Arabidopsis thaliana: one gene and its partners. The protein of the gene in region 1 interacts with the protein of each later gene in a pairwise test. Each region holds a gene or a part of one and is shown on either strand. Other genes may lie near its edges.

Region 1 (7,745 bases):
TTGAAACTCGATGTGTGAAAAAGAGTCATGTTTTTCGACTGTGTAGTGTGGTCGCAGCATTCGGATCTGGAGTTGCATATTCTCTTGTGAGCGCAGGATTACAAGGACAGCCTATGAATGCAATCACCACTGCTGCTGGTTTCGCTGTTTTTCAAGGAGTGTTTTTCAAGGTAAGTGATCATATATATAAATAGGAGATAAGACTCTTCTTGAAACTAGGCAGGCATGTCATTAAACATCTGTTTCTATTTTCTTCTTTTCGGTCTTGTTCAGTTGGGTGAAAGGTTCTCTAAACCAAGTGTTGAAGATCCATATTACACCCGGGGAAGATCTATGTTGTTGAAACTGGGTCTAGAGAAGTATGAGAAGAACTTCAAGAAAGGTTTATTAGCTGACCCAACTCTGCCATTGCTCACTGATAGGTAACTATACTGTTTTGAGCTCCAGAGGTTTCATACTCTGTTCCAACTAAAGTTAATTGTCTTAGATCAAAATCTTATGCCCGCTAAATTGTGTGTCCAGCGCGCTAAGAGACGTGAGCATCCCGCCTGGACCAAGGCTACTGATACTTGATCACATCCAAAGGTTCGAATCTAACTGCTCATCGCCCTATTTTGAGAGACATGAATCTGCGAAATGACTGAAGTGAATTGAATTGTGGTGATTATTTATACAGGGACCCTGAGCTAAAGGGCAAGCGGGGAAGTCGTGGTTGAGACTTGAGAGCCTCTCTCCTTCTTCTGCAGAATCTTTGTTGTTGTAAGATGTTATAAGGATCTCAAGCACCTATTATTCTTAAATATTATTGGTTGATGTTGCTAGCAAGAAAAATTGAATACAACCTTAAAATATGGTCGCGATATCTAAAAGTTCACACAAAGTTTTCTATATGTACCTGGAAATAGTTGAATTAATGTATGTATAACCCAATAAAAGCTCTTAATCCAGCAGTAATGTGATCATTTAAAGCCAAACTTTAAATTACCATGTTATTAATTATTTAATTTAACAGAAACCAAAACACATGGATTTTGAGTTTTTAACAAATTTGTTGATGGGTCACCCAACATTTATGTGGTTATCAAAATTCCTATACAGCTTTGCATCATCTTTCTTACTCAAACTAAAAAATATTTTCCACCGTCGGGATTTGAACCCGGAAATGGAAGAATGTTCTTTAATTTTAACCATTGTAATACAACGGATATTTTGTTTAGATTTGAATTTATAGTGTATATATACAATTATGTAAATATTATTAATTTAAAAAAAAAATCCGCAGCCGGGATTTGAACCCGGAAATAGAAGAATGTCCTCAATTTTAACCTTTGTGCTACTACGGATCTTTTGTTTAGATTTGAATTTATAGTGTATATATATAATTATGTTAAGCTTTTATCATAAGATTTTGTTACAGATTTTTAGGACTGAATACAAACTTGTAAAATGAATTAAAGATAGATGGTCGTTAGATGACCATCCTGAATTTCCCTAAAAAACCGTTTACGTTTCACCATTCCAAATTTTGGTTGTAGTTTAGGATTGTATATTTTCTACTTTATTTATGTTAGGCATCACATCCACATCTAAAATCAATTGTTATAAACATATATTCTTGAAAATGACTCAAATTGAAGGCATGTAGATGTGAGGTCATATCTCACATATTGGACTACTTTTTTATTTGCCCACGACTTAGCATATATACAACTTTCTTTTTTTGCTAAGAATATAAATATTTCATAAAAATGAAAACAATTTAAGTTACAATCGATGATTATAGACCTATAGAAATGGTTCCATGGCAAAAAAAAGTAAAAGCATGGAAGCATAAACAATAACTAAAATTCGGTCCATCCACTCAACCAAAGCAGTAAGGCTAAAGGCGTTAGATGAAGCGATGACGATTTTAGTTGTTCTTTACGATATTGTTGCTGGAGAAGAAGGGTTTAAAGCAAGGAGAAGGAGCCTAATTGCATATATACAACTTTCTATTTGGGTTTTACCTTTCGAATTTTTTTCTGGTAAAGATCACATTAGCTCCTTATAGGTCGCCGAATCTTTTGATAAGAAACAAGCTTCCAGCTCGATGTCAAGCTCCTTCTTTAGAAAATTTAGAATTATTTCAAAATAAAATGCATATATTTTGTTTTATTTAAACGTCATCAAACTCTACAAAGACTGAAAACCAATGTTGCATGGGCAGAGAAGTCAACGATTCAACGGAAGACGCATGGATGAAATGGTCCCTAAATAATCTAGGAACACTAAAATCTTTATTTGTAAATAAACGATCAAACTAATCGTTATTTCAATTACTCTAGATTATTCAACAAATGGGATATGAAAAGAAGAGAAACATATTTTTTTTATTAATTGCTTTCAAAATATAAAAGGAATTTAGTTGTCTTTTAAACAAAGTTTGAGTTATTACTAACCAAAAATCGAATATCTTTTGCTTTATTTTCAACAAGATCGATTGTTTTTAAAGATTTACTACGTGATATTTGGATTTTGTTGAAGCGCCCGACTAATCCCAAGATGAGCCAGTAACAACAATGATTTTTTTTTGTTTATATAGAAATTTTCCAAGGAGAAATTCAAGATTTAGACAAAAATAAAAACCTCTACATATTTGGCAATGATATAAACCAATTTGAGGATACATATATGATCCAACAATCTAAGAACCTATCCTTTACACAAATATCTATTCTAGGGAGAGGCAGAGTCGGAGGAGAAACGAGAGAGCTGGTTTGTTAGAAAGATGATGCGAGTGTGGTAATCACGAGCCTGGTCTAAAGATTCGGCTTCAAGCTCGGCAAGCTGAGAGCAAAGATGCTCCTCAGCCTCCTCAGCCACCTGTGTCCTCCTCCACAACTGCAACATCTCTTTCCTCATCTCCTCCACCGCTTTCTCCATCTCTCCGTTCTTCTGTCGTAGCTCCTCTACCTCCGAAGCCGCCACCATCACATAGTTTCCTCCTTTTCCCATTTTCTCTCTTTTTATTTTATGGTTTTTGATGATTTCTCTTTTCTTTGTTTTTGTGTCTCTTTACTTTTTGTTGTTGTTCTTCTTCTTTTGGTAATTGATTGTTCCTTATATAGCCGTTTCTGCGACTAGTCTTTGGGTGGTGGGTATATGTCTAGATTCATTGATATCTCTTGTTTTTCGTTCTTATTTATGGTTAGTTATTTTCCTTCCTCTAGAACATTTTGTTTTTTTAATTATGTTCCGATATACACGTTGGATCCAATAATATAACATGTGAATTCTTTTTAGCAAAACTATTTTGTAGATTTGGGTAGGATATTCGAAAACTTTAGACCAATCCTTTTAAAGGAGACTATATTACTAATGAATCTATTGTAGGCTTTAATAATAGGGAGGCCATAAAATGTACTTCTTTCATTTTCTTTTAATATTTGATTTTAAAGTTTTTGCATACCGATTAACGAATTATTTTTGATCATTGTGGGTTGAAGTATTAAATTGTTGCACATAATATTGTAGTATTTGGTAATTTTGACTCTTATGTTACGTAATAATAGTACTACAGAGTAATGAATCTCCTTGTAATTCTTATTTTCACATCTCATTAAGCTTTATGACAAAGATAACGTAATAAATCATATGAAATGTCATTGACGGTGGCTCGTGAGTGGTCGTTGTGTTTGAAAGAGAAAAAAAGAAAGAAAGAAAAACTTGTAGTGTTTCGGTTATACAGACGTTATATAAATCTTATATTCATGACGTTCTCTATTTTGTTTCACTCAAGTATTTTACATAAACGTTTAGCATATAATATGTTTTCAAAAAGAAAAGCTAATAGTCTAATTAGTGACACAAATGACAAACCAATATATATTTCTAAGACTATATAAGATATCAATAAAAGATGACGATATATTTACAAAAGGTAAAACTAGTGGTAAGGTAGCAATACGATAAATAAAAACATGATGATACCACCCGTCTATATACTACCATTTTCTTACCGTCTCACTGAATGGTTATGTACAAGAAGTAGTACACGTTTATACCAACGACGGTAAAACATTATCAGTGAAAAAATGCAGTTTGGCCATCCTAAATTTCCTAAAGAGACCGATTACGTTTCATCATTCAAAACTTTACTTGTAGTTAGAAAAATGGATTATTGTTTTGTTTATGTTAGGTATCACATAGATATCTAGACCAATTAATATAAAACACATACTCATGAAAATGACTCAAAGGCCATATATCATATATGTGATCTTTTTATTTGCCTACCAATTAGCAAATCCTTCTCTTTCGGGTTTAGCTTTCCAATTATTTCAGAAAAAGATCACATGAAATTAGCTCCACCATCCAATAGGTCGCCAAATCTCTAGCCTCTCTGTTTTTTGCTAAGAAATTATGAATGTAAACTTGAATTGCACATAATTGGTTTTTTGTGCACAACTTGCTTATATAAATTAAGTTGGTATTACAAAAGTACACTTAAACACAAAACATTTTGTCAGAAAATCCGTTTTATATGGTTAGAAAGAAATACAAGATAACTATTATCATTCTCATAATTCAAAGAGATCTCCTCTCGGATCATCAGTTTCCAAGTCTCTCCAAAGACAATTCTAGTTATACTTCAAAAAAAAAAACATTATAAATATTTGTTTGTTTTAATTGCATCACAATTTATGAAAAATTAAAGGGTTTTGGTTAACAAAAAAAAAAGACTAGACTTGTTTGCCCACGTCAGGTCACCTGGTTCTGTCAGAAACTAGATTTGTTCAAAAACAAACCCTTTGTTTATATTTGTACATAGTACACTGGCGTTGGATCCGTATATTCGTTTCCCTTTTTTCTCCCAAAAGCAAACCAAGTTCTCCAATTTTACTATGTCAAACTCTAGAAAGACCAAAACCACTGTTGCAATGTCAATGATTCAGTAGAATTCAAACACTTCTTCATATAATACGCAAAAATCTAAAAGCAAAATCTTTATTTGTAATTTGGTCATTTCACATATAATAATAGGAAACATGACCATAATTGCTTTAAATTTTCTTTCTGTTAAAGTAATTTACACGTCTTACAAACAAAATTCCATTTTAGTCAAACCAAACATCGAATATCATTTACTTTAAATTGTTTTCAAGACTTTTCATTCATCATTAATCGCAAAAATCAATCGGTAACAACATCGATTTTTTTTTTTGATTGAAACTTCCATATTTGTTTTAAAGACAACTCTACATATTGGCATTGATATGAGCCGATAAGAGGATACATCAAACAATCTAAAAAACCTATCTTTCTTTAAAAGCAAATATCTATCTAATTCTACGGAGAGGCAGAGGCAGAGTCTGAAGAAAGACGAGAGAGCTCGTTCATGAGAAAGATGATACGAGAGTGGTAATCACGAGCCTGGTCTAAAGATTCTGCTTCAAGCTCGGCTAGCTGTGAGCAGAGACGCTCCTCCGCTTCTTCCGCCACCTGTGTCCGCCGCCACAACTGCAACATCTCTTTCTTCATCTCCTCCACAGCTTTCTCCATCTCTCCGTTCTTCCGTCGTAGCTCGTCCACTTCGGAAGCCGCCACCGTCACATAGTTTCCTCCTTTCCCCATTTTTAAGAACTTTTAAAGGTTTTCTAAAGATTTCTCCTTTTGGTTATTTTGGTCACTTTGAGTTTTTTTGTGTTTTGTTTTGGTTCTTGAACGTTCCTTATTAATAGGCGTCTTTGAGACTGGGGTTTGGGTGGGTTTTATGTCTAGGTTCAATGTATCTATATCTCTTCTTCTTCTTTCTTATTTCTGGTGAGTTATTTTCTTCCTCTAGATTCTAGAACATTTTCTCTTTTAAATTATTTTCGATATACACGTTGGGTCCAATTAATATTTTGGAATATTTTAGTGGTACCATATAATTGTTTTATTGGTTAGAGACAAATTTGTTTTTAGAGGAGACACGAGATAAGTTATAATAAAAATTTATCAATCAATATAGTAAAATGTATTGGTTCAGTCATAATAACTCTTGTCATTTCAATAATACATATGGCAACGGATTTAAAATGAAAAATATTTGTTTAAACTGATATTTTTTTTTTAAAATGGAGTATTTGCTTTCTAAGAATGAATAAATTTCTTTGTCTAATTGAATAAAGTGGATTAAAACATATTTTGGACCATTTTACTTTGATCTAATTGCTATACATATAAAGTAATGAATATTTCATATTTACTGGACCATAAATACTAGTAATTCAATCTATTTATACAAGTCTAAACTGTAGCTCGTAAGTAAAAGTAATGAACAATTCTTACATTATAGCCCCAATGAGCTGTCAATTTCATCAAAGACAACTATATGTTAATAGATCATAATAATACATCGTCTTAATAATGGTCCTAAACTCAGGAATAAGTTGTGCAAATATGTTTTCATATACGCATGTAAAGAAAAGATTGTGACTATTATTGAAATAACATGAGTTATATTTATATCCACCAACTCTTTATCCTCAAAGAGGATATATATATCCGCTGTATTATGCTAACATTACCATTCTTGCACTTGAAAAATGACTTTAATTAATTGAACATTTTATTACCATGAATTGAACAAAATTTCTGAAAATTGCTTCTGAAGCATCCAATTTTCAAGATTTTATATATTCATTCTAAAAACTTAATTCAATAAACTCATGTAACAACAAACTAATCGTTGAATATATTTTCTTCTCGAGAACGTTGACTGGACACTAAAAGAATGAAAGAGTAGTACTATTTGAATTTTCAATGAAACCCCACTTATTTCAAAGGGGAACTTCTTTTTTTTCTTTTTTCTTTCTTTTCTGTTTTGCTATTTCATAGAATATAGAGAAAATAATTGTTTTCCACTATTTCTCTTAATTGCTAAAAGGCATGTAGAAATCATTTTCTCACCTTTATATTTTCCACTAATATATTCCGCCAATTATAGCCATTAATTAACTTGGAGCAAAGCCTTTGTCGATGTAACCCACATTCCCACTTCTTTCTCTTAACTGGAGTATTGGACAATATCTCCCAAAGTCAAGGGCTGTCACGATTATACAGCTATTCTTGTATAGTTAAAGTTACGGCTACGATTCATAGTTCTTAAATTACTTATTAGCTATTTCTTTAGTATCTTTATTGGTGTGTATGGGGAAAACTAAGAAGACTTTGGTTATGAATGGTGTCATGAAGCATAATAAAATAATACGGTGCGGTTTGATTTTACTCTTGGTCATGTTTTTGTGAATCATATTTGGACAACACACCAACCTCAAGAAGTAGGGTGATTCAAGTATAAACTGAAAAATCATAAGCGTTAAATACCGATTAATACAATCATATATATATTTCGAAACTTCAAAACATTAGTCAAAATTTGATAACTCATTTATCCGTTACTCGCACCAAACTAATTAAGATATCTATTCAGCTTTTGTTCTATTCGTTCTACACCATTTATTCTTTACAAACTACATCTGTTATGCTTTATTTGTCTGTTCGTTTTGTTCTATACGTCACCTTATGATGTGTATCTTCGTTTTCCTAGCAAAGGTTGGTCCAAAAAAATTGATGGCCCGAATCAATATTGTTTTTTTCTCTCTTTTTAGCTATAATTCAAAATCTTAAACAATATTGGTTATAAAATTATGTAAAGTTGTGTTAAATATATTGGAAAACACAGAGGGACCGGTCACCAACTGTTGAAATCTTTAGTTGGA
Region 2 (9,857 bases), on another chromosome or scaffold:
AGCTGAAAGCCTTCTAACCTGTTTGGCATTTGAGAAAAATGGTCAGACAATAACCAAGAAGAAAGAACTAAAGCGAGAACACTCCTTCTGATTCTTACCAAAGCTTTGTCTGCCATCATCTTTCGCATTGAGTAAGCCAAACTGCAAATATGGTGTCAAGAAAAAGTATATCAACACCTGAAACGTAGATAATTAGTTATCTTCTGAGTGGATTATATCAAGTACGACTTACGTGAGGGTAACTGCTAGGGGAAGTCCCTCAGGCACTGCTACAACCACAATTGTCACCTAAACAAATGCCAGAGTTAACTGATATGTCTATCGAATAACATAATCAAAAATATGGAACTAATACTTACGGCGATTGTAAATATCTTTACACAATCATCTACAATGTCACTGATACTAGTCGTCCCTTTGATAAACTGGGTCGCTCCATTAGTATCTTGAGTAGTTCCGGTAAAATATCTGAAAAAACTCAATGGTTATAGCCCTCAACATGGCATGAATTTGTAAGCCAAGAGATTTATTGACCAAGGTAAATGAAATTACCTCACAAGAAGAGCCACCAGGACAACAAGAGCCACTGAGAGCCCCACTATCCCTATGAAGGTTGCAAGACCATTTAACCTCACCTGTTACAAGATTACCAAAAGGAAATGTTAGCCTTCTTCAACACATTGTGGAGACCTTAAGTGATCAAGATGATATACCTGCAATGGAGTTTCTTCACCAGTATCTTCTGAGATACTTGCCATCAACAATCCCCACTCAGTGTTGATTCCAACACCAGTAACCTATTGAAACACTCACAAAGAATAACTACTAGGAAGTATGAACAACTATGTGAAAACAGAACTAAGAACAGGACAAAAGTTTCAAAGATTTACCAGCATGTTACCGACTCCGTCAGCTACTTTACAGCCAGACATTAGAAAAGGGGATTTTTGATCCTTGTGAACCTGCAAACAAAGGTCTGTGTTAGCAAATAGAAAGGGAAGATGACCATAAAAATTGCACAAGCAGAACCATAATGAACTCACAATCTTGCTTTCACCGGTCATGCTAGATTCATCAATAGCAAGAGAATGACCACTAATTAGCACTCCATCCGCAGGGACCTATATGAATACAACAATAAATAAGGCCATATAGTCATTTAACTCTGAAGCCATTAGATGGAATATAAAGACAAAGTATACCTACCTGGTCACCTATCCTAAGAGGTATAACATCTCCGACAACAACGTCATAGATTGATATCTTCACTGTTCTCCCTCCTCTCATGACCTGTAAGAGTTTTCGTTTATTTAATCTTCAGCTCAAAAACATGTAATTGCAAAACAAACTAAGATGTTAAAGCAAGCACCTCTAGTTGTATATTTCTTTTTTCATCGTTGAGGTTTTGAAACTGGAGAGATTGGCGATAGTCACTAACAGCTGAAACAATCAAAAGATAAAGTGTAAAGAAAGATTTATCTTAAATGGATTAAGAGCAAGATTGAGAATGTTTTCAAGAATTTATCACAGAAAGAAACATGTATATACCTGTAACAACAATGACAAGCAAAACCGCAAAGGCAATGCTTCCACCATCAAGCCAACCTTCTTTCAAACCCTGATCATGAAGTAATAAGACAGAAAATTAGTACATTCCTGATTTCGAAAAACTAAGAACTTATCGAAAGGAAAGCATGTATACCTCTGTCTTTATTCCCAATGCCAATGATGTTACAGCCGCTATGATCAAGATGATGAGAGTTAAATCTTGCCAAGCTTCCCAGAGGAACATCTTTTGGACAAACAGAAAGTTGAAAAAAAACATATGAGTATCCACAAACCGATAAAAACACGGTCGAAGAAGTTGTAAAAGACTCTTTGCTTACAAAAAAGTTTTTCCCCTTCTTTTTTGGGTAAGTGTTAGATCCAAAAGCATTCTTCCTATCTATCACCTCTTTCTCATCCTCATTGATTCCTTGTTCCATATTTGACTTCAACTTCTCTGCAACACCTTTGACCTGAAAGATATATTAATGTCAGCATCAAGAAACCTTCCTATTTATGGAATGTGTGAGTCTTGAATCATACCCCTCCATATTGCTGCAAATTGGACATGTTCTGGTTCCTTGTCATAGACACAAGCTTTTCAAGATCAATGTCAAAGTTACCAGTAGAAGCTGCTGGTGTTGATGATCCAAACGCTAATTGATACCAAAAGAAACTAAAGATTATTCAACAAGAAACCAGAAAACAAAACAGAGATTTGCTTGACTTATAAGAGATCATACCAATTTGTTGTTCACCAGCCAGTTTAAAAAGCAATGCTGCCTGATTCATAAAAGTGATTTATCGATGTGAGATTCAATTAAACAAACAACATTGTTGTTGAAATGATAGGAAGAATTATATAAAGAAAATACATACCCTAATGACTTGAGCATGAGCTCTGATCATCCTCCTTCGATTATCATAATGTTCTTCTTTATTAAGATCCAAAGTGTATCGAAACCGACGCGATGCGTTCAACACAAGAGCGGCTTGTCTCCAACGACGAAGAGATTCAACAGAAGCGTTCTTGGTGTTATCAATATCAAAAGGATCATCAGGATCATGTTGAAGCTCTTCATGATCAGAATGTTCTTCAGTTTTAGCAGAACCAGCTTCCATGTCGTCATGACGTCCTGACATTGACGTCAGAAGCAATCCGTTGCTCGACGAAGTGCTCATTCTTCCTTCCTTCGTCTCACCCAGCTTTCTTCTTTCTTTTAAAATTCTATTGAAGAATTCGAAACAAAAAACGCAGAGAAAGAAAAAATAGGAACGACCGGTTTTATGATTTGGTCGTTATGGAGAAAAAAAATGATGGTGTGACGGAAGAGAGAAGGCCTAACTCGAGAGAAGGCAACAAAAACCGAAACACTTTCTCTCTTTTTTTTCTCTTACCTCTCTGTCAATCACAGAGAAAAAAAAGAGAAACTAATTTTTGAGTTTCTAACCAACATTAATATTTTGATTTACCCTAAAAAAAAACTATGAAAGAAAATGGAGAGAGGGTTCAAATTGAATGAGATCATTACTATTTTTGGTTTGGTTTGGCAAAATTTGTGGGAAGTTAGTTTTTTTTTGTTTCTTTTTATGGGAAAGAGAAGAAGAAAGAGTTTTTTCCGGGTAAGAAGAAGAAGAAGAACATGGTGGCATCTCTTAACATGGCATATATCTAACCATCTCATTTTTTAAAACAAAAATCTTTCCTTCTTCTCAGATCTAACTATGTTTTCGTTTTGTAATAAGTGGTATACCATTCATCTTTATAACTTATAAAATTATTCTAGTATTCTGATATACTATTGTTCACCTCGTATCATGTGAAGAATGGTACACTAATTATCTTCATACCTTAATCAGTTCTTTCTAATCAAGTTTCCAATAAAGATAATGGAAAAGAATAAAACAATGTGACAGAGAGAATAGTGAAGTTGCTGAGAAATTTCGTTTTAACCTGATGAACGTGTGTACGACATTAAGGTCACTTGGGTTGCACGACATAACCAATCATTGTTTCTATTTTTATACATAGATTGCATTATCTCTACTAAGTCTTAAATATTTAACTAATTGTAATCAAATACAAGAACAAAAAAAAGTTTTCTGCCTGAAAATATAATCAAACACACAGATGAGAGACTGAGCAAAGTTTTTTTTTTCTTTTCTGATGAGTGAGCTTCTAAATAAGTGAAGAGTGTCTTATAATTTGTAGAAGACTAAAATGTGCCCACATAGACTGAGATTAACCCAGAGAAACCCTAAACACAACTCAGATTCGATTCCATCATCAAATGAAATGATAACAACTGTTTTTGTTTGAGATCCTTTCTTGCTTCCAATGGTTTCTCAGTTCTCACTGTGTGTTGCTAATGTCACCAGTTACTTCCATCATTTGATCAGCCTCAAGATTTGCGTCCTGCAACAAAAGTGATTGAGAAAAAAAAAATGAATGTATGTTCTCTTAATAAGCAAATCAAAACTCCAGCTCTATGAAATACTGCGCTCACGGCTCACCTCATTCTTATTCAGAGATAGATGCTGAGGTGTTTGCGGAGGAGGGACTTTGGATAGGTCTCTAAGAGTCCCCTGATATTATAAAGTCAAAGGGAATGTTATTGTTAGGTTCATACTCGGATATATAGGCCTGATCAATGAGTCAAAAAAGTGATACGAGACGAGGTGATCAATGTGAACTAAGAAACTCTTAGCTTACCTTGTTTGCCCACATCAGTCCACACGCATTACAAAGTGTTCTTGGCCCATCAGGTCCACGTCGCATCATTGGAGTTGACTTCTCACTTGTTCCACAGTGTCGACATCTTAACATGTTCACAACCATTTGACGAAGAATAAGAACAGAGACAAGCTTTCCAAGTATACCAAGCTATAAATAAGTTCATATCAACTACAATGACTTAACATGCAACAACATAGTCGGTTCAGTTATTTTTATCCTCTCACAAGTATAAGTTATCAGTTGCAGGTATCGAATGAGTGATGCCATCATGATAAGTATAACTATAAATTTCAGAGTTGACGTATATAGACAAAGTTTATGGAAGTGAAAAGAGCGTCATTAAATGGTTACCAAATAAATTGTTTCCATGTATTAGACTTAATTGAGGTTTTATAACGAGTTCACTAAAGTTAATATAACTGTTGTAAGAAATTTAAAGCATTTTCAACTTACAAAACCTCTGGCTTCTGAGTCTCAGTCCCTTCTACGGCCCAGCTCTGGTTTGACCCCCAATCCGATCCAGTGGATCCAGAATCATCATTGCTTGATTTAGCCGACGTGAACTGACCTTTCTTACGCTGCATTCTGCATGAACAAACAAAACCTTAATTGCAAAACAGACGTATCTCAAAAGCTCGACATACACAAAAGCTAGTACTTGACATAAACGTACCTCAAGGCTACTTCTTTCCTGACTGTATAGCGAATAGTCTTATCAAAGTTCCTCCCTTTTCGTTTCTCCCTAAACCTGAGCAAAGAAGCTAACCGCTGCGGAACGCTAAGCCGTTGAGGAGTACCAGATAGACCCTGGTTCATTTATTAGTCAGCAACAAACTGGGGAATAAACTGATTTCCCATATGGTATTAAATCTTTTATTACCAGTACCCTATTGTTCTGATGAGGTGATCCTAGGGTTGTTGGGAGTGTATGTGGTACTTCCCTTCCACCAAGTAACAAAAGCACAGCTTGAACCTGCATAATATTGAGCAGCACTTCAATAAGCGAAAAACAAAACCAACCAGGTGGATACGTTGACCATATGTATCCAAAACTAAAACATCAAAGAACCAAAATTAACTTAAAGTTACCTTCTCAGGCGAGACACGGTCAAAAACATAAACTTGTCCCTGGAAGGACAATGTCAATTGATCTCCATTTTCAATTCCACGGTCTACAACTTCACCACGATTATCAGCTGAGTTTCCAGGGTGAGAAGGAATGTCTGTCTCCACTCCTTCATCCATCCCACCATCAGCATGGTCATCCATCATACTGTTTTCATTGTCGATATGGTGCAAACCGTGATCTTCATACTGCACATGCATTGGATTTTGCGCTACACCAATGTGCATTCGACCATTTCTTCCATGAAGATCATCCATGGTCTTTTTTCTGCAATTTGTTACCAATTACATCCAAAGGAAGATAACATTAATTAAGACTGGAACGTTCTTAATAACGAAAAAGCGAGATTGTCAGAGACGGTATAGGTTGAAGAAACTCAATAATGGTGGATATATTCTCACATAAATTGAGTTTGCAAATACAAAGAAACTATCTCCACCTAAGGGAAAGGAACTTCATTAATAGTTATCAGCACTGATATAGTACAAAGGAGCTTCTTTTATAACAAGAGTAGATGACAATAATCTAATCTCGAGTAAACAACAACTAACAACAGTCAACTACCTTAAAACGTAACAATATCTACCCAAATCCAGTAAAAAAAGTTTCATCAATCAGATTCGAATTGGAAAAAAAGTCTCCTTCTCTCATGCTCATAAGTCCTAAGCTAAGTCCCAACCTTTAAGCTAAGAACAAATAGACAGAACAATTCCAAATCCCACATATAAATGCTTCCAACTAAAAACCCTCCAAATTCGACAAGTTCATCTACAAACTAGAACCCACTACCTATATCATACATACAAAGACTTGTCACTTGGACAGGGCAATCAAAACAATAAACCAAAATTGACATCAAATGGGTACCTTTTGTGCAGAGGAATCCAAGCGAGAAGAATGAAGAGCCTTTGCAGAGCTAATTCACGCGAAACAATGAAAGATAAAGAGGATTTGATTATACAAAGAGAGAAAAAGGTTTAGGGAAAAATCCCAAAAGGGTAAACGGAGACGAGAGCGAAAAAAGGAAGCTCCTTTGATTTTTTTTTTCTTTTTTGGTCTAATGATTGTAGTGAAAGATTTTTCATTTTTCTTCAGCAAACGTCGTCGTTGTGATCTTGGGCCTTTTTTAGCCAAACGGCGTCGTCTTTGTGAAAGGCTTGACACTCCCTATTCTTTGGACCTCATCTTTAATTGGCCTCTATTTGAGTTCATATGTTTTTCTTTAGTGGTTTCAGGTTTGATCAAGATACACATTTACTCTTAATGATGCCAAAGATATAAAGACATTGGAGATGGTTTAAGGTCGCCAAGGTTTTTCACATAATTCTTTTAATCTCTTTTGTCAAGATATCTTTCTTTTACCAAATGACAATGTGGAATTACATTAGTTAATTCAATTTGTACCCATCTTTAAAAACTTCTTGTTGTTTTGGTTAGAAATCATATATAATTATAATATATCTCTACAAATAAACCATCTTAACACAAAATATCTTAAGTTAGATGGAACCACAACCAATTCTTCGGTGGAAAACAATTGACTCAACTATATCTAATATGTCAGATTTTAAAACTAAATTGCGTTCCTCTTTCATTTCTTAATTCCACAATATACAATTTTATTTTGATTTTATTTGCTTTTCCCTTATTCTTGCACAAAATTTACATATGTTTTGCTCTAATATGTTCTAAGCATTTCTAATTTTTTTCCTTTTCAAAATTTTGGTACTTAATAACTAATTGACCAATTATGAAAATGCCATGTGCCTCGAATTATCCACTAGCAAAAGGGTAGCAACAAGTTATAACTTAGAAATGCGTACATATATCTTACTTATAAAATATCAAGAGTTAGATTAGATAATGCATAGACTAGTGTGACAATTACAAGGCCATGCACTGGCTGACTTGGTGCCTCCTCCAAAGAACTAAATACCATGTTGAATTTGAACCAAACTTGGAACATATATGAGGAGACGTGGGGTAGGAGATAATTCATGTGTAGGTTTTGCACCATGATGATCCAATTCTATGAATTTATCATTTTCCACAATGTGTATGATGTCCTTGGAGTGCCGGTTGGGTCTATGACAAGAAACTACAACAATCTTCTCCTTAACTTGGTATGCGAAGAAACTCACCCCTTCCCTAAAATGACAACGATAGCGTAGACCAACTCCGCCCCGCAGTATTGGGAACTTGCTCCATGACATTGCTCTGGTGTTCTCACTAGTCTTCGTTGCTATCCATAAGTTAACGTTTGTTCCGGTTACGTATGTGTAATTAGTAGATAACATACAAAGTCGTTTCCCTTGTCTAGTCACTGATAAAGCCAAATGACTATCACCCTCTGGGAGAGACTCACTTCCAAATCTCTCTGTTGAGAAATCAAAACTTAGTAAGAATTGTTCACTAATATCAAACCAGTAAGTGATTCCATTTACAGACACGCCACTGGTGATATTTGGATTGAACAAGCCGGTGATCACACCAATACTCCTCCACGAATTAGAGTTAAAGTCATAGATTTCGTACTCGTAACGTTCTTGGCTATTGTTGATAACAAGATCCTCCCCCACGATGTTGTACACGTAACGTTCTTCGCTAGGATTGATAAGACGACCCTGCCTCAAGATTTTGTACTTGTTGCAAGAGGATCTACCGAGAGCATAGCAGTCATCTTTCTTGTAGCAAAATCTTGGTTGAATCCACCTTGTTTCACCTGAAAGCGGATTCCAAACCACCAGTCTATAGTCCTTGGTGGTGCATAGCAATAAGCCATCGCAGTGAAAGACGTGGCCTATATCGACTTCTGTTGAATAATTATTAGAAAGATGTTCTTTTAGGCTAAAATGACATGTTATGTTAACATATGGAGCAACGCTATTGTGAATTCCACGGAGATTGGATCTCACTGAATAAACCTTATGATCAATCAACACGAGAGCCATAGAGTGCCTTGGAGCATTAGAAGAGTGCTTCTTAGAAAGTTTCCCATCTTTGATCAAAGTGTTCCATCGTTTGGATGTTGATCGTAATCGTGCTAGAAATACAGCCGGAACTCTAGAGAGTATCTCCACTACCAAATCCTCCGGAAGGTCGTTGAACGTCATCATCTCTCACACGACTGTGATTAAACCAATTTTCAAAGAATCAAGATGGAGAGACGATAGAATCAAGATTTTTAATCTTCTTCTTTTTTTTTCTTTGATTTACTCTATAAATATGGGAAGATCATTTATATATATAGGAAGGAGGAGATCACGTAATTGTCTTTTATTTTATCCTTTACACTAATAAATATGGAGATTTTTTCTTTTTGTCCACACAGATTTTTAACTTCTTTTTTTCCTAAATTTAATTCTTACTATCTTTCTTTTTTCTCAACATTTATTTATCATTATTAATTTTTTCTATTTCTGTGGTTATAATTTTGTAACATTAAAAGCATATTCAATTAAAATTAAATGTAAATAATTTTATATAAATATGGGAAGATCATTTTTTTTCTTTTTACTTACTCAATAAATATGGGAAGATCATATATATACTTAATATATTTCTATTGTATAACTCAAAATGCTTCTAAGTAATAATTGACTTGTGGGGTTATATCTTTGAACATTATATATCTCTGCCCTACTCCTTTAATTTTTCATGAAGTCATCATACTTACATATTTAATAGACTAATAAATTAAAATGTGTATTTCACTAAAAGTTTGATAAATCAATTCTCATTTTGCATTTGCTAATGTACCTGAATCTATCTACCTATAGTCCCAAGGCACTTGTAAAATAAAATTGGCCTTATGAAATTTTACAAACTAGTATATCCTTGAAAACCAAGATTTTTGATCAAAATGTAAATGAGGCCAGGAACCAAAACCTATCCAGAAAATATCATCTTCCGAGTCAATGAAACCTATGTGACATGCAACTCTATAACCATATCAAATTACACAAAAGACGCAAAGCCAATGTGATAATTAGGATCATTCATAGACCCACCAAGTGTTTCACTGGTCATGGTGTTATAAAAGAAATATGTATGCTTCCTTCACAAAAGAAAACCAACATTACACAACTATTTGTTGTGACTTTCAACTGTTTCAAGACACTAGCTCTGGTCTGGTACTTACCTTTTTGCCTTCTCCAAGACACCTTGTCACAATTCCATGGAGATCGAGACTCACTAATTAAACCCTATAATCAATCAACTTGATAACCAGAGGAGACTGCCGTTGTGTCTAAGCAGAGTCCATCTTTGATAAGAGCGTTCCACCCTTTGGGTGTTGATCGCAATTGTTTCAGAGATACCACCGGAACCCTAGTGAGTATCTCCACAACCAAATCCTCCGGTCCGGAAGATGTACAATGTTTCCCTTCTTCTGTTCTTCATCATCTCTAAAAGCATGTTTTCAGATAACTTGGGATGGAAGTTCTTGGA
Region 3 (12,564 bases), on another chromosome or scaffold:
CCACATTCCTAAAGCTCCAGGTACCTTTTCTACGTTTCCCGAATTCTGATTAGTTGATTCTTCTTCCTCAATCCGTTCTTCCCAAACTTGTTGCCGATTTTTGGATCCGGTCATCAACTTTGTTGTTTATTTGTCATCAATGCAAAAATTGAGAGCGTCTGTGTTTTCACTTGCATGTTATCAATTCCTAATGTTGTTTGCCGTTTCATTAACCGGATTCGAGACTCTTCCCGCTGGATTTCTTTTTTTCACGTCTTCTTTTCTATTTTTTATGGATTTGGTATTTTGACATGTTAAGCAACCTTCGTTAATCAGTTTAAAATCGGTGCTTTCCGAAATTTTTAGAAGAAACATGGAAGCTTAAAATTTTGAAATTGCTATTTGGAAAAGCTATCATTTCATAGGCTTAGTCTTTGTAATTCTTCTTTACTTGTTGTTCATTGGCATGAATATATGAAGGATTTTATATTTGATTGTGTGTTTGTTTATGTTGTTAGAAATTGATCAAAATGGGAGAAGCTGGTCAATCCAGAGACGGAGAATCTGTCACGCCTCTTGTTGTAAGTATTGTGGCTTCCTTTTCTCACTTTTTAGATAATACTTTCAGAAACTATACTTGCTTTATGCTCTCATCTTAATGGAATTCTGTTTGGAGTCAACTTAACGTTCTCTTGGTTTCTATATCAACGGAAACATATAAGTTGATTAAAATGGGGTTAAAGAGGATATTCGTAATTTTTGGTTCTTTATGCATTGAGACTACCATTCTAATATCAGTAATTTTTCCATGGCCAGGGCGGTGGTAATGGGGACAATGCGGTTGCACCACAAGTGTTTAATTCTTTACCAGCTCTTAATGAAGCTGCTTCTTATATAACTCAAGCAACGTCTTACTTAGGGAGCTGTTTTTCTGACTATTCAGGTACCCTTTCTTTCTATCTGTTGATGTCGTACTCAGTATGCAATTCCACGTTCATATGCTAGGCTTTACTTATGGAAAATATGCTTAGCAGATATTTATGGTGTTAGGATCTTATCGTCACCGTAACATAATTCAGGCTTTGCTTAGCATCTGTTCTTTCAATGCTTTCTTCAGTAGAATATGGTGGCAAGGATACTATTTCCCACCCCCATGAGTTGTTACGATCAACTTCCGGAGTTGACGGGAATTCCCCAGTGAGTGTATGCATTTCGCCTGGTGAAAGGTTTTCAACTTCTTCAGAGGCATCTACATCTGATGCCAACAGCCCGTCGAGGGAATCTACAGAGATTCTGCCACAGGCAACAAATGCAATAGTGACTTCGAATCGGTTAAATTTAAATGGAATTTCAATGTTCCAAGGGTACGTGTACTTTGTATTACAGATACAAATTCCCCATACTAGTAGATATGTAAAATCTTAATACTATGAATATGTGAAACTGAAGCAATACAATAATCTCTATACACTACTACTTCTTGTCAAGTTTTCAGCATTTGGGTGATTGATCTATTTTAATTCAATCAGGCTCATTGAGCGGGCACGGAGGACTGTTCGTGGCTCGGCAGATGACATAGGATGGTTACAGCGTGCCCCGGAGATGCCTCCTGTTGAAGATGGAACTGATAGGTTCAATAAAATTCTGGAAGACATCGGGTATGAATTGGTTGTAGTTGCATGTTTTGTGTGCTTTGTGGCCTTTTCAATATGCTGTTTAACATCCTGTTTTTTACTAAATGGCTGCGTTGATCTGGTTTTTATATCCAGGCATGGTGTACACAGGCTTCCAAATACAGTGGTGTACTTATTGGTTCCAGGTAGCAATTCTTATTCTTTGCTGCCAGCCACTTAAACTACATTACTGTATATTAGGACTCTCAAAATTAGTTGAATTTTTTTTAGGTCTTTTCAGCAATCATGGACCTCTATATTTTGTGGATACGAAAACGAAATTCTCAAAGATGGGTTTGGCGTGTCATATTGCGAAGATTCACAGCGAGGTAATCATAACTAACTCAACTTAGTACAGTTACATTTGGTGTATAGCATACTAATATATGGAGAAATGTTTATATATCAGTCCTCGGTTGAGAAAAATGCGAGAGAGATAAAGGAATACATAGAGGAACTCTGTTGGGGATCTAATAAGCGGGTTCTACTTCTTGGGCATAGCAAAGGAGGCATAGATGCAGCTGCTGCTTTATCACTATACTGGCCTGAACTAAAGGATAAGGTCGCTGGGTTGGTACTGGCGCAGAGTCCATATGGTGGAAGCCCAATAGCTACAGATATCCTCCGTGAAGGACAACTAGGTGATTACGTCAATTTGAGAAAGATGATGGAGATTCTAATCTCCAAAGTCATAAAGGTTTGCAACATTCCTGATCTAACAAAGTCATTTCAGTTGCATTATATCAGCTTCTTGTGATTGCCTGTTAAAATCCTTAGTTAGGTGGAACCGAGAAACTAGGGATAAACCAAAACTTATTTTGTTTCTGGATTCTATTGCTCTGCTGATCTTTCTGATGAATTCCTTGGAACATTGTGAAGGGTGACATTCAAGCATTGGAAGATTTAACATACGAGAGAAGAAAAGAATTCTTGAAGAATCATCCGCTTCCCCGAGAACTCCCCACGGTTTCATTCCGCACAGAAGCTAGCATTAGCCCAGCGGTTCTATCCACTTTATCACACGTAGCACACGCTGAACTTCCTCTGACAAACCAAGCCGCAAAACTGCCAGTGGTAATGCCACTTGGTGCTGCAATGGCTGCTTGCGCTCAGCTACTTCAAGTCAGATACGGTGAAAAGAGTGACGGGCTAGTGACTTGCTGTGACGCAGAGGTTCCTGGTTCTGTGGTTGTTAGACCCAAACGTAAACTAGACCATGCCTGGATGGTGTACTCTTCCTTGAACGAGGTTCCTTTAGAAGCTGATGCTGCTCAAGTTTGTGAAGCGCTCTTAACTTTGCTTGTCCAAGTTGAGCAAGAGAGGCAACAAAAACTCGCAACAAAAATCGATTGATAAACCAAATTGTTTTATTTCTACTTTCGTCTTGAGACTTCAAATTACTGTATTTGTTTCTATCTTTTTGTTTTATTTCTTACTAATTTACTATCAGGTTTGAATCACACGATAACAAAAAAATTATTACAAACGGTAGATTTTATATTTATAAGACTACTTAATTTGCTTCTTTTTTTTTCTTTTATTGTTGATTAATTTTTATTAGAAGATTAGTTATGTTTTTCTCTCTATTCCTTTAACGAACCGTGATCGTGCGGCTCGGATCGTTGGAGATTCTATGGACGGCCGATGCTTATATACTGTAAGTGGAATATGTAATTCCCGAAAGTGCCCTCCAGATGTTCACAAAATTACGCCATCGTACTCGAATTAACTTCAACTCTCTCTTCTCTCTCTCTTTCTTTTCACTCTTGTTTTTGTTTCTGTGAGTGCTGTGTGTGTTCTCGGTTTGTAATATCTAAGTCGCACAAAGATCAGACAAAGTCTGTTTGCGTTTGATAGCATTAGAGTCTGATCGAATTTGGAAGACCTGTGAGATTAGGGTTTCTTTTTGTTTGTTTTTTTTTATTCCGAAGGAGAGCTGCGGAGCAATTGGAATTACCTCGGTTAAAGCAATCACGTAGCTTTGGATCGTTTAGGGTTTTCTCATTGGGTTTGGGGGATTTGTATTCGAGCTTCCTCAAACTCAATCTGATGGTGATGTGAGACAAGGCTTAATCCTGTTAATTGGCGATTCTAGGGTTTTTCAATGGCGAGCACAGGCGAGCCTGACCGTAAAAGGCGTCACTTTAGCTCCATATCACCTTCTGAAGCTGCAGCCGCCGTAAAGAAACAGCCTTTCTTTTGGCCCTCCTCCGAGGACAAGGTTTCTTTCTTCTTCATCTCCCCCTTGTGCATGCCCTTTACATCTATTCTCTTACTTATCCAATCAATCATAGCTTTCCAGCTATTAGAGATTCATATACTGAATGTCTTTTGTCTCGAATTTGGTCTATTTTGGAATTGGGATTCTCTCTCTTAAGGAGTTTGTTTTCGTTTGATACAGCTTGATACTGCAGTTCTTCAGTTCCAAAATCTTAAGCTATCACAAAAGCTAGAGGCTCAGCAGGTTGAGTGTTCTATTCTTGAGGATAAACTCTCTCAGATCAAGGAAAAACAATTACCATACAACTCCAGTTTGAAGACTGTCCATAAGTCTTGGGAAAAGGTAACACTGAATTTGCTTTCGATTCTAATAGAACTTGGATTAGATCTCTTTTTCTAGAGAACTAATTAATGCTTGTATAGCAGCTTACAGCTTCAGTGGAATCATGCTCTGTTCGTGTGAGTGATTCAAGCAGCGGAGCTCATAGGTTTGTAAACAAGGAGGGTATGAACAACTTAAGCCCGCCTTTTCTTCGTTCTGTTAGTGCTAGGATCTAGTTTAGATTTGGTTTTATATGTTACAAATATGACTTTTTGAAAGGTTAACTTTAAATTGCTACACAGATGGGTCTTCTCCAGCCGTGAAAAACGATTTCATCAACCGGCTACTTGAAACTGGTGCTACTGAGAGCTCCTCATCCAATATCTGCTCGAATCAGATGGAAGAAAATGGAGTGAATACGTCAAGCCAGATGACGCAAACCTTGTATAATCTAGTAGCCGCGACAGAGGATTTGAGGTGTCTGAAGGATGAATTATATCCCACAGTTCTCAGAACCAATCTTGGTAAAGGTATGACTTCCACTGCGATCAATTGTCAGCTCTTGTTATGGCCTTTATAACATTTTAGTATTAACCCAGGTCCTATGTGGAATTGCTTTCTTTTCTAGATTTGTGCGGTCAGCTAGCTCTGAGTGAGTTGGAATCAGAAATTAAAAGTTTCAGAGGGGATCTAGATGATGTACTTGTGAAGTTCAAATCACTTTCTAGAGAATTGCAGAGTCATCGCGATGCTGATGCTAAAGTTAGAGTAGACCTCAAACGAATAAGAGGTAGCTACTTAGTCTCGTCTCACTCGACTATATACTGTTAAAATGGATTTTTTAATTGGCATTGTTTATATGGATATAGTATTCATGCATCAAATGTAAATTTGTAATCATATACGTGGCTTGACAAAAAAAGGTCCTATATACATGAAAAGCTACTGAAATCATATCTCGCTTTTGATTGATGAGGATAAGTGTAAGTAGAGGTGATCAAATTGTGAATCTTCCAATTCCACGCCTGTGTATTTATGTCCAGCACTACTCAGTTGTTTAATAGCCATGATTGGATTTAGATCATAGAGATTAAGATTGAAGAGAGAGATACATTAAGACTGGAAGAAAACCTCTATGGTAGAGCCAGCTGTTAAGAAGACATGTAGCTGTGGAAGATATACTCATTAGCGAACTGATGGGTGTACAAAACCCTTCTGAGACATGAACTTCTTAGTTTTCTTTTATACCATTTACCCATATTTATATATTTCGGTAGATTTTAGGAGATAGAGAAGCTGGTAATTCTTTGAGAATGACATACATCCACATAAGTGAAGCATCTTAATTTTGTTGATAAATTACCCGTTTACCTTAAGATGTAAGATTTCAATACTGACAGTAGCCACAGTTAAGAAATTCAAAGAGTTAAAATTTATTTTAGTTTACATGCCTGCTTTTGGATTAATGCTTCTTGACTACCGCATCAACTGATATTATACTTTATTTGGTCTATTCGAAGGGGAGCTAGAGGATGAGGTTGTGGAGCTTCAGCAGTGTAATGGTGACTTGTCAGCATTGAGAGCAGAAAGGGATGCAACAGCTGGGGCGTTTTTCCCAGTGTTGAGTCTTGGAAATAAGCTTGCTACCAGTGATCGGGAGAGGGATAAACAAAGGGATCTGCAAGACATGGAAACAGTTCTGAAAGAGTTAACGGTATCTTTGTTTTTCTGATTTGTTTTCATTGGTAATTCTTTAAGTTTTGGGTTGATAACGGCCTGGTTTCGGTAGGTCCTGGCTTCAGGCAGGCTACAACAGCTAAAAAATCTTCATGAGGAGAGGACAAAGATGCTTGGAAAAATGAGTAATTTACAGGTCAGTGTATTGATCCAATTGGGGTATTTGTATTAGTTTGTCTCTGTATGGGGTTTGATATATGAAAATTTGTGGAATGGTAGCCTCTTCCTATTGCTAAAACTGATGTAAGAGTTTTCTAACAGAACAAGTCAAAGTCTGTGAGGTGCATCTCATCTTCTCAAGCCTGCCTTTCTTTGAAAGACCAGCTAGAAAAATCCAAAGAAGCAGTTTTCCAGTATATGGCTTTACTTGAGAAACTGCAGGTTATATCTGGTTTGCGATTTTCATTTTGTATCTATGTTTATAAAATTTACGTTGTATATTTAGTTGTGAAGCTTTCCTCCATTCGAAAATTTCAGGTTGAAAAAGATAGTATAGTCTGGAAGGAAAGGGAGATAAATATAAAAAATGAACTAGGTGATGTTTCTCGAAAGACGTCTGCTGTTACTGATTCTAGAATGGCTTCTTTGGATTCGGAGATACAGAAACAACTGGATGAAAAAATGCGAATCAAGACTAGGCTGGGAAATATATCAAGAGAGCGAGGTCACAAATTGATTACTTTGACTTCCAATTCTGTATCTCCCACCCACACCTGTTTCACTTTGGAGTCTGATTAAGTTATTCGTATGTCAGGTAGAAAAGAAATCTTTGCAGATATGAAGGCATTAATTTCTTCGTTCCCCGAGGAAATGAGTTCCATGCGTAGTCAATTAAACAATTATAAAGAGACTGCTGGAGGTATTCATTCTCTGCGGGCTGATGTCCAGTCCCTCTCTGGGGTTCTATGTAGGAAGGTGGGAAATAATGTGAACAGTGATTGATGCTTATTGTTACAGTTTATGTTATGCTTACTTAATAAGCTTAATTGGTGAACAGACAAAAGAGTATGAAGCATTGCAATTGAGATCAGCTGATTATGCTTCTCAGTTAGGTGACCTGAATGCTACGGTATGATGCAATGTATCTACCTTTTTCAGTGTACTGCCCATGACTTATATATGTTGACAGTGTTCATATTGGTTATTGTTACTTTGCATTATTTCTTGGAAAAAGTATAGTGAAAAGGCGGATTAGCAATTTAAATCTTGTTAAATGTCTTTGGTTGGCAAAGTGGTAGTTGTTATGTTCTTTACTTTCAATTGATTGGAGTCTGTCATGCAGGTTTGTGATTTGAAGAACAGTCATGAGGAGTTAAAGTTGTTTCTGGACATGTATAAACGTGAGTCCACTGATGCGAGGTAAGCACAACTATATATAACGATATCTAAGATTTCAATTCTTAGAGAAAAGTTTCCTTATCTTCCCCTTCTCACTGTCCAAATATATAGTATAACAACAAGTGCTGTTATTAATCTTGCCTTCTGACTGAACTATCGAATCTTGCTGAAAGTTTGTTGTTAATTTTTCTTGCGTTTCTGAAGAAACTTATGTTCACATTTTCAATTTATCCATGACAGCTTTTAATATCTGATCTATTTTTACAGTTCCATCTGATAAAAACTCTTTTGGATGTGTTAGGATTTGTTTATCTTCTTATCTTGACTGAACACATTATTATAATGCGGTTGGTATATTGCCTTAAGCATCACTGTCGATAATGTGCTATGGCAGGGACATAGCTGAAGCCAAGGAACAGGAGTACAGGGCTTGGGCTCATGTTCAGAGTTTGAAATCATCCCTTGATGAGCAAAATCTGGAGTTGCGCGTTAAGGCAGCAAATGAAGCTGAAGCCGTTTCCCAACAAATGTTGGCTGCTGCGGAAGCAGAGATTGCTGATTTAAGGCAGAAAATGGATGATTGTAAAAGGTAAATAAGTATAAGTAGAAGTCTGCAATTTATAGATGCAATCACGCAGTTCTTCCATAGGAATTCTTTGAGAGTTTTTTGTTTGACAAGGATAAGTCTTTTCTGTTTCAGGGATGTCGCCAAGCATTCTGATATCTTGAAATCTAAACATGAAGAACATGGAACATATCTTTCTGAAATACAGGTTGGCTTATGAAATTTCGTGTTTCTTTGTTCTTAACATATTTTAAAAACCTTGATGTTGCGTATCGATTTACAGTAACTATATTCTTTTAGACAATTGGAAGTGCCTATGAGGACATTGTACCGCAAAACCAACAGCTTTTGCTTCAAGTTACAGAGAGGGATGACTATAACATCAAGGTATCGTGTCCAAACTCTTCTAGTTCCTCTATCTGATCTATCTCTGTGACTTCTCACTTACTCTTATATCTAGTAGTGTTACATTTATTCAGAGATTGATGGATCGTTTTAATGGGCATGGACCAATTTCTGTGGTTATACCTTGTATGTTTTGCTAGAATATCATGAAAAAAAGGATGGTTTGTTACTTGGATCAGACAATGAGATGTAATTTTTTGCTCGCCCATTGTTGTTTCAGCTTTTCTTGGAAGGCATAACTTCTAGGCAGATGCAAGATACTCTGCTTATCGATAAATACATCATGGATAAGGATATACAGCAAGGCAGTGCATATGCCAGTTTCCTATCCAAGAAATCATCAAGAATTGAAGATCAGGTATATCTGTGTGTGCCCGTATGCTCAAATTGTAAGCCTCCTTATTGTGAGACTTTGACTAAGGTGTTTTTCTTTTTCCTTGCAGTTGAGGTTCTGCACAGATCAGTTTCAGAAACTAGCGGAAGATAAATATCAAAAGTCTGTTTCTCTTGAAAATCTGCAAAAGAAACGTGCAGACATCGGGAATGGCTTGGAACAAGCTAGGTCAAGGCTGGAGGAGTCCCATTCTAAAGTTGAGCAAAGTCGGCTGGATTATGGGGCATTAGAACTGGAACTGGAGATTGAAAGGTAAATCAATTGCTCCCTCCATCTTCTCTATCCTAATTAATAGTCATAAACAAGTGTTAGTGATGAAGGTATCGTTCTTTTCTGCGTATATCAGGTTCAATAGGAGAAGGATAGAGGAGGAAATGGAAATAGCCAAAAAGAAAGTTTCTCGTCTTCGGTCTCTCATAGAAGGATCATCGGCCATTCAAAAGCTCCGACAAGAACTCAGTGAATTTAAAGAAATTCTGAAGTGTAAGGCCTGCAACGATCGCCCAAAAGAGGTAAAGAGTCACTGCTCTCCATTATTTAGATCTCAGCAAGACGCTCAAATCATGATCCCTTGAATCTTTTAGTCAACTGCGTGCGTGATTGCTGATTGGTTTTGGTCTTTGGCTTAACAAACTAGGTGGTGATTACGAAGTGCTACCATTTGTTCTGCAACCCATGTGTGCAAAAGCTCACAGGAACTCGACAAAAGAAGTGTCCAACATGCTCAGCAAGTTTTGGACCAAATGATATTAAACCTATCTACATATGACCGCACCAAAACACTCTGAGCATGATGATGTATGATGAAACTGTGAAACACACACAGGTACTTTTTCTCATATAGGATAAACATTAGATCTCTCTGTAATTATTACTCTCTTTTATTGGGAAAGGTCATGAAGAATAATTGGATATGGCAAATCAGAGTTTTTGAGGAACCATTTTGGGATTTTGATAATGTGATAGAGAATAGGTAACACTGTTAGGGTTTATGTCTTTGGTGATACTTCCTTTTTGTTTGTAATTTGGAACATGGTTTCCGCAATTGATTTTTCAATTAAATCTTCTTTTTTGTTCTACATTTGTGTATGATCCAAACGTTTGTGATGTAGTGTTCTAAGATTCTCAATTTAGAAAACACGAGGCAAGATTTTGGATATTTGTACCATTTGCGATGAATTGCAATCCAATTTGTTTGTTGGCATCTCCAAAGACTTCGATCCTTGGGATCATGATTCGAGATGGTCTTTCACAATCCTAGGTAGGAATTACAAGTATTTTTGGTGGATCTCCAATGACCTTAAATATTATAAGTGAATTTAGTACTAGTGTTTCTCTCTGTAACTACGGTTTGTAAAAGTGGGTTAAAACCAATAGTTGAAAATGTAAGAAAAAGACTAAAATCATTTCATGCATTATCAATTTTGAGCTTTAACATACAACTTCGGAATGTACCGTAAAAGTATTTTAGATGGCCTCAATACCATGTTTTCCCAATAATACTTGCTCCTTTAGCCCTTTACATTTCAAGTATTGCAAGTGTTTCCTCTTCCCGCAAGACATGATCATTGGTATTTGCCGCACATGTTCTTTTTCTCTTTTCTTTCTTTTAAAAAAATGGCTGAGAGGTGAAAAGAAAGAGTTAATTTATTTGAACAATATGCTCTTAATTATTTTCTTCTTCGTATTGTTATTCTCTTCTGCTACTGCTTTGAGTTTGGTCTTTCTAATTGCTTGCTTTTTCTTTTCTTGGCCACTTTATTCCCAAAGATAAAGATCACATGTTTTAGCTCCATTCTGCTTCTATCTCTCGGGATCTATATACATATACGTCTGTATATCACTAATTTGATTAAAATATCAAAAGTGCAGATTGTGGTAGAAATATGTTGTTTGTGTTACAAACAAGACCATTCATTATAAATTATAATAGTAAGAAATTAAATACGTTTCTTATAGTAAGGAAATTCATGACTATATTATTATTTAACAATGCAACTATACATAAGAATCGTTAGCAAAATATTTAGTAATAAGTTTTCCTTGTTCCTATTTTTTCGTTGTTATATTTACGAACATTTTGACACATTATCTATATATATTATACAGTGGTTTTTGTTTTTGTTTTTGAGGTAAAACTGTAAAAGAGAAAGAAAATAGCTTAAACCAACAAGAAATAAAATAAGGTCACGCACATAAATAAGTAAACTAAGACCAACAAGAAAATAGCTTAATACACTGTCAACCTGCATTTTTCTCTTTTAAAAGCATAATATTGACGAAAGAGGAAAACAATCATACACTTAGTATCTTAATTACTTTTCCTAAAGCACTACGACTCCATTTTCTTCAATTTTATCTTTTTTGTGGAACTTGATTTTTTTTTTTTAATACAACTATACACATTTCAAATCTTTTTCATTTTACTCTATATTTTATTTGGTAACAACAACAAAAAAATCTGATCTTATTAGTCTATTATACTTGTTGAAATTAATTACCTTGAAAATAGTGTCACGGGACAAGATCAATTTCGATCCAAATAATTCGAATTTATGATAAAAATTAAGTTTGTATACTATTTTCAACATTTTCAATATAATTAGCTCCCTCTTGGTATACATAGGGTTCCTTTTCCTTTGCTTTTTTGAATTAGATATATTATTGGTTTTACACATTGCTAGTAAAAAAGAAGAGATAATATATCTATAGTTGTACCGTCCAATAATACGGAACCAGTGGCAAATATCGTAGTCTTAAGAATATAAAATGGACTGATTAAGAGTCTGTCCATAGTTAGGTTTGCATGCCACAAGATGCCAAACAACAAATTCACCTTCTTGTATCTTGTCAGTCAGGTAATCGTCCAAACAATCCAGGTACATACAAAATTTAATCAATGCTATTTTGATTGGTGAAACACTAAAACTGAAACCAAAACTTTTTATGGTTTATCAAAAATATATTTATTAGATGACTCGCTCTTTCTTTGAATATCTATTAATTTGCTACACTTCTAAATTAAAGTTAAAACTGTTTTAAAACGTATAGTCCGCGACTACAGTTGCAAAAAAGAAATTCAAGTCATTGTTATCTTTTTTTTTTTTAAATGCATGTCAGGTAGGAATATTATATATATATATATATAGTATATAATCCCATTTCAATAACACTCAGAAGTTTCCAAAAAAGAAACACAAATGGTCGATTAGGAATTGTGGAGGATACGTATGAACGTACCTAACGTTGTATACAGAACGCGATATAAATAAAGTAATTGATCATAGGCTGCTATAAATTGGAGACTTAAATTGTCTACATACATTCAAAGCTTAAAATCATGAGAAAATAGAAAATTAACCCATCAATTAATTATTATTACCATGTTTTGAGATAATGATAGTGAGCTCACTCGTACACCCACTATGTTTCTATTTAATGACCTGTCTTCAACTATCCCTACGTCTCACCAAATCAACATATATAGTACATGTATATTCGAGTATTACAAATTTTCAAGGGCAATTATAAACCTAACCTTTTTCTCCCTTCGATATAAAGGTCGAGTTCCAATCTCAAAACTAAACTTAACCATCGAATGAAACACTTGATATATGAGTATAATACGAATTTTGTTGTGGACGATAAATCTATTTTTGAAAGATGTGTATTGTATAATGAGTTTGATTCGTTTATTTTTTGTTTGTTTAGTACTAACCTATGTGTGAGCAAATCGTTTCATGTAGTGGGTTTTCACCTATTTTGCCATTTACTGTTGTTGTATGTTATGAGTCTTATGACAAAAAAAAGAATTATTAAATAAAATTAGTTTTATATATAACAAAGTTATTTGTCACTCTCAAATCTAAGGGTCCAATATGTTTGGGAATCAATAACAGTCTTAAATTGCCTCATAGTGGTGAACAAAGTA

What was found.
Region 2: the proteins of LSU2 (region 1) and ZML1 interact in binary tests that used the Arabidopsis thaliana proteins (3 or more experiments, as listed by UniProt).
Region 3: the proteins of LSU2 (region 1) and HUB1 interact in binary tests that used the Arabidopsis thaliana proteins (3 or more experiments, as listed by UniProt).

The regions. Positions count from the first base shown.
Region 1 is NC_003076.8:8,438,144-8,445,888, forward strand, and holds LSU2 (response to low sulfur 2), read right to left. Parts: upstream 5,959-7,745; 5' UTR 5,614-5,958; coding exon 5,329-5,613; 3' UTR 5,136-5,328; downstream 1-5,135. Other genes in the region: AT5G24650 (Mitochondrial import inner membrane translocase subunit Tim17/Tim22/Tim23 family protein), read left to right, coding at 47-170, 274-422, 523-585, 677-716; LSU4 (response to low sulfur 4), read right to left, coding at 2,716-2,994. UniProt on the Arabidopsis thaliana protein: May be involved in defense responses monitoring. Probably implicated into osmotic stress signaling.
Region 2 is NC_003074.8:7,418,640-7,428,496, reverse strand, and holds ZML1 (ZIM-like 1), read right to left. Parts: upstream 6,462-9,857; 5' UTR 6,276-6,461; intron 5,676-6,275; 5' UTR 5,666-5,675; coding exon 5,372-5,665; intron 5,256-5,371; coding exon 5,163-5,255; intron 5,090-5,162; coding exon 4,956-5,089; intron 4,868-4,955; coding exon 4,736-4,867; coding exon of another isoform or gene 4,732-4,735; exon of another isoform or gene 4,365-4,731; coding exon 4,259-4,364; intron 4,132-4,258; coding exon 4,060-4,131; intron 3,962-4,059; coding exon 3,899-3,961; 3' UTR 3,592-3,898; downstream 1-3,591. Other genes in the region: ACA9 (autoinhibited Ca(2+)-ATPase 9), read right to left, coding at 1-18, 99-141, 233-288, 360-468, 553-635, 714-797, 891-962, 1,044-1,121 and 8 more; AT3G21170 (F-box/associated interaction domain protein), read right to left, coding at 7,337-8,524. UniProt on the Arabidopsis thaliana protein: Transcriptional activator that specifically binds 5'-GATA-3' or 5'-GAT-3' motifs within gene promoters.
Region 3 is NC_003071.7:18,539,440-18,552,003, reverse strand, and holds HUB1 (histone mono-ubiquitination 1), read left to right. Parts: upstream 1-3,351; 5' UTR 3,352-3,756; coding exon 3,757-3,873; intron 3,874-4,053; coding exon 4,054-4,215; intron 4,216-4,298; coding exon 4,299-4,377; intron 4,378-4,496; coding exon 4,497-4,724; intron 4,725-4,822; coding exon 4,823-4,984; intron 4,985-5,714; coding exon 5,715-5,908; intron 5,909-5,983; coding exon 5,984-6,067; intron 6,068-6,192; coding exon 6,193-6,312; intron 6,313-6,408; coding exon 6,409-6,595; intron 6,596-6,685; coding exon 6,686-6,846; intron 6,847-6,928; coding exon 6,929-7,000; intron 7,001-7,213; coding exon 7,214-7,290; intron 7,291-7,663; coding exon 7,664-7,858; intron 7,859-7,969; coding exon 7,970-8,042; intron 8,043-8,134; coding exon 8,135-8,221; intron 8,222-8,297; coding exon of another isoform or gene 8,298-8,333; exon of another isoform or gene 8,334-8,457; intron 8,458-8,459; coding exon 8,460-8,597; intron 8,598-8,682; coding exon 8,683-8,885; intron 8,886-8,979; coding exon 8,980-9,145; and 4 more. Other genes in the region: AT2G44970 (alpha/beta-Hydrolases superfamily protein), read left to right, coding at 1-20, 498-560, 796-922, 1,097-1,343, 1,509-1,637, 1,749-1,798, 1,884-1,981, 2,062-2,349 and 1 more. UniProt on the Arabidopsis thaliana protein: E3 ubiquitin-protein ligase that monoubiquitinates H2B to form H2BK143ub1. H2BK143ub1 gives a specific tag for epigenetic transcriptional activation and is also prerequisite for H3K4me and maybe H3K79me.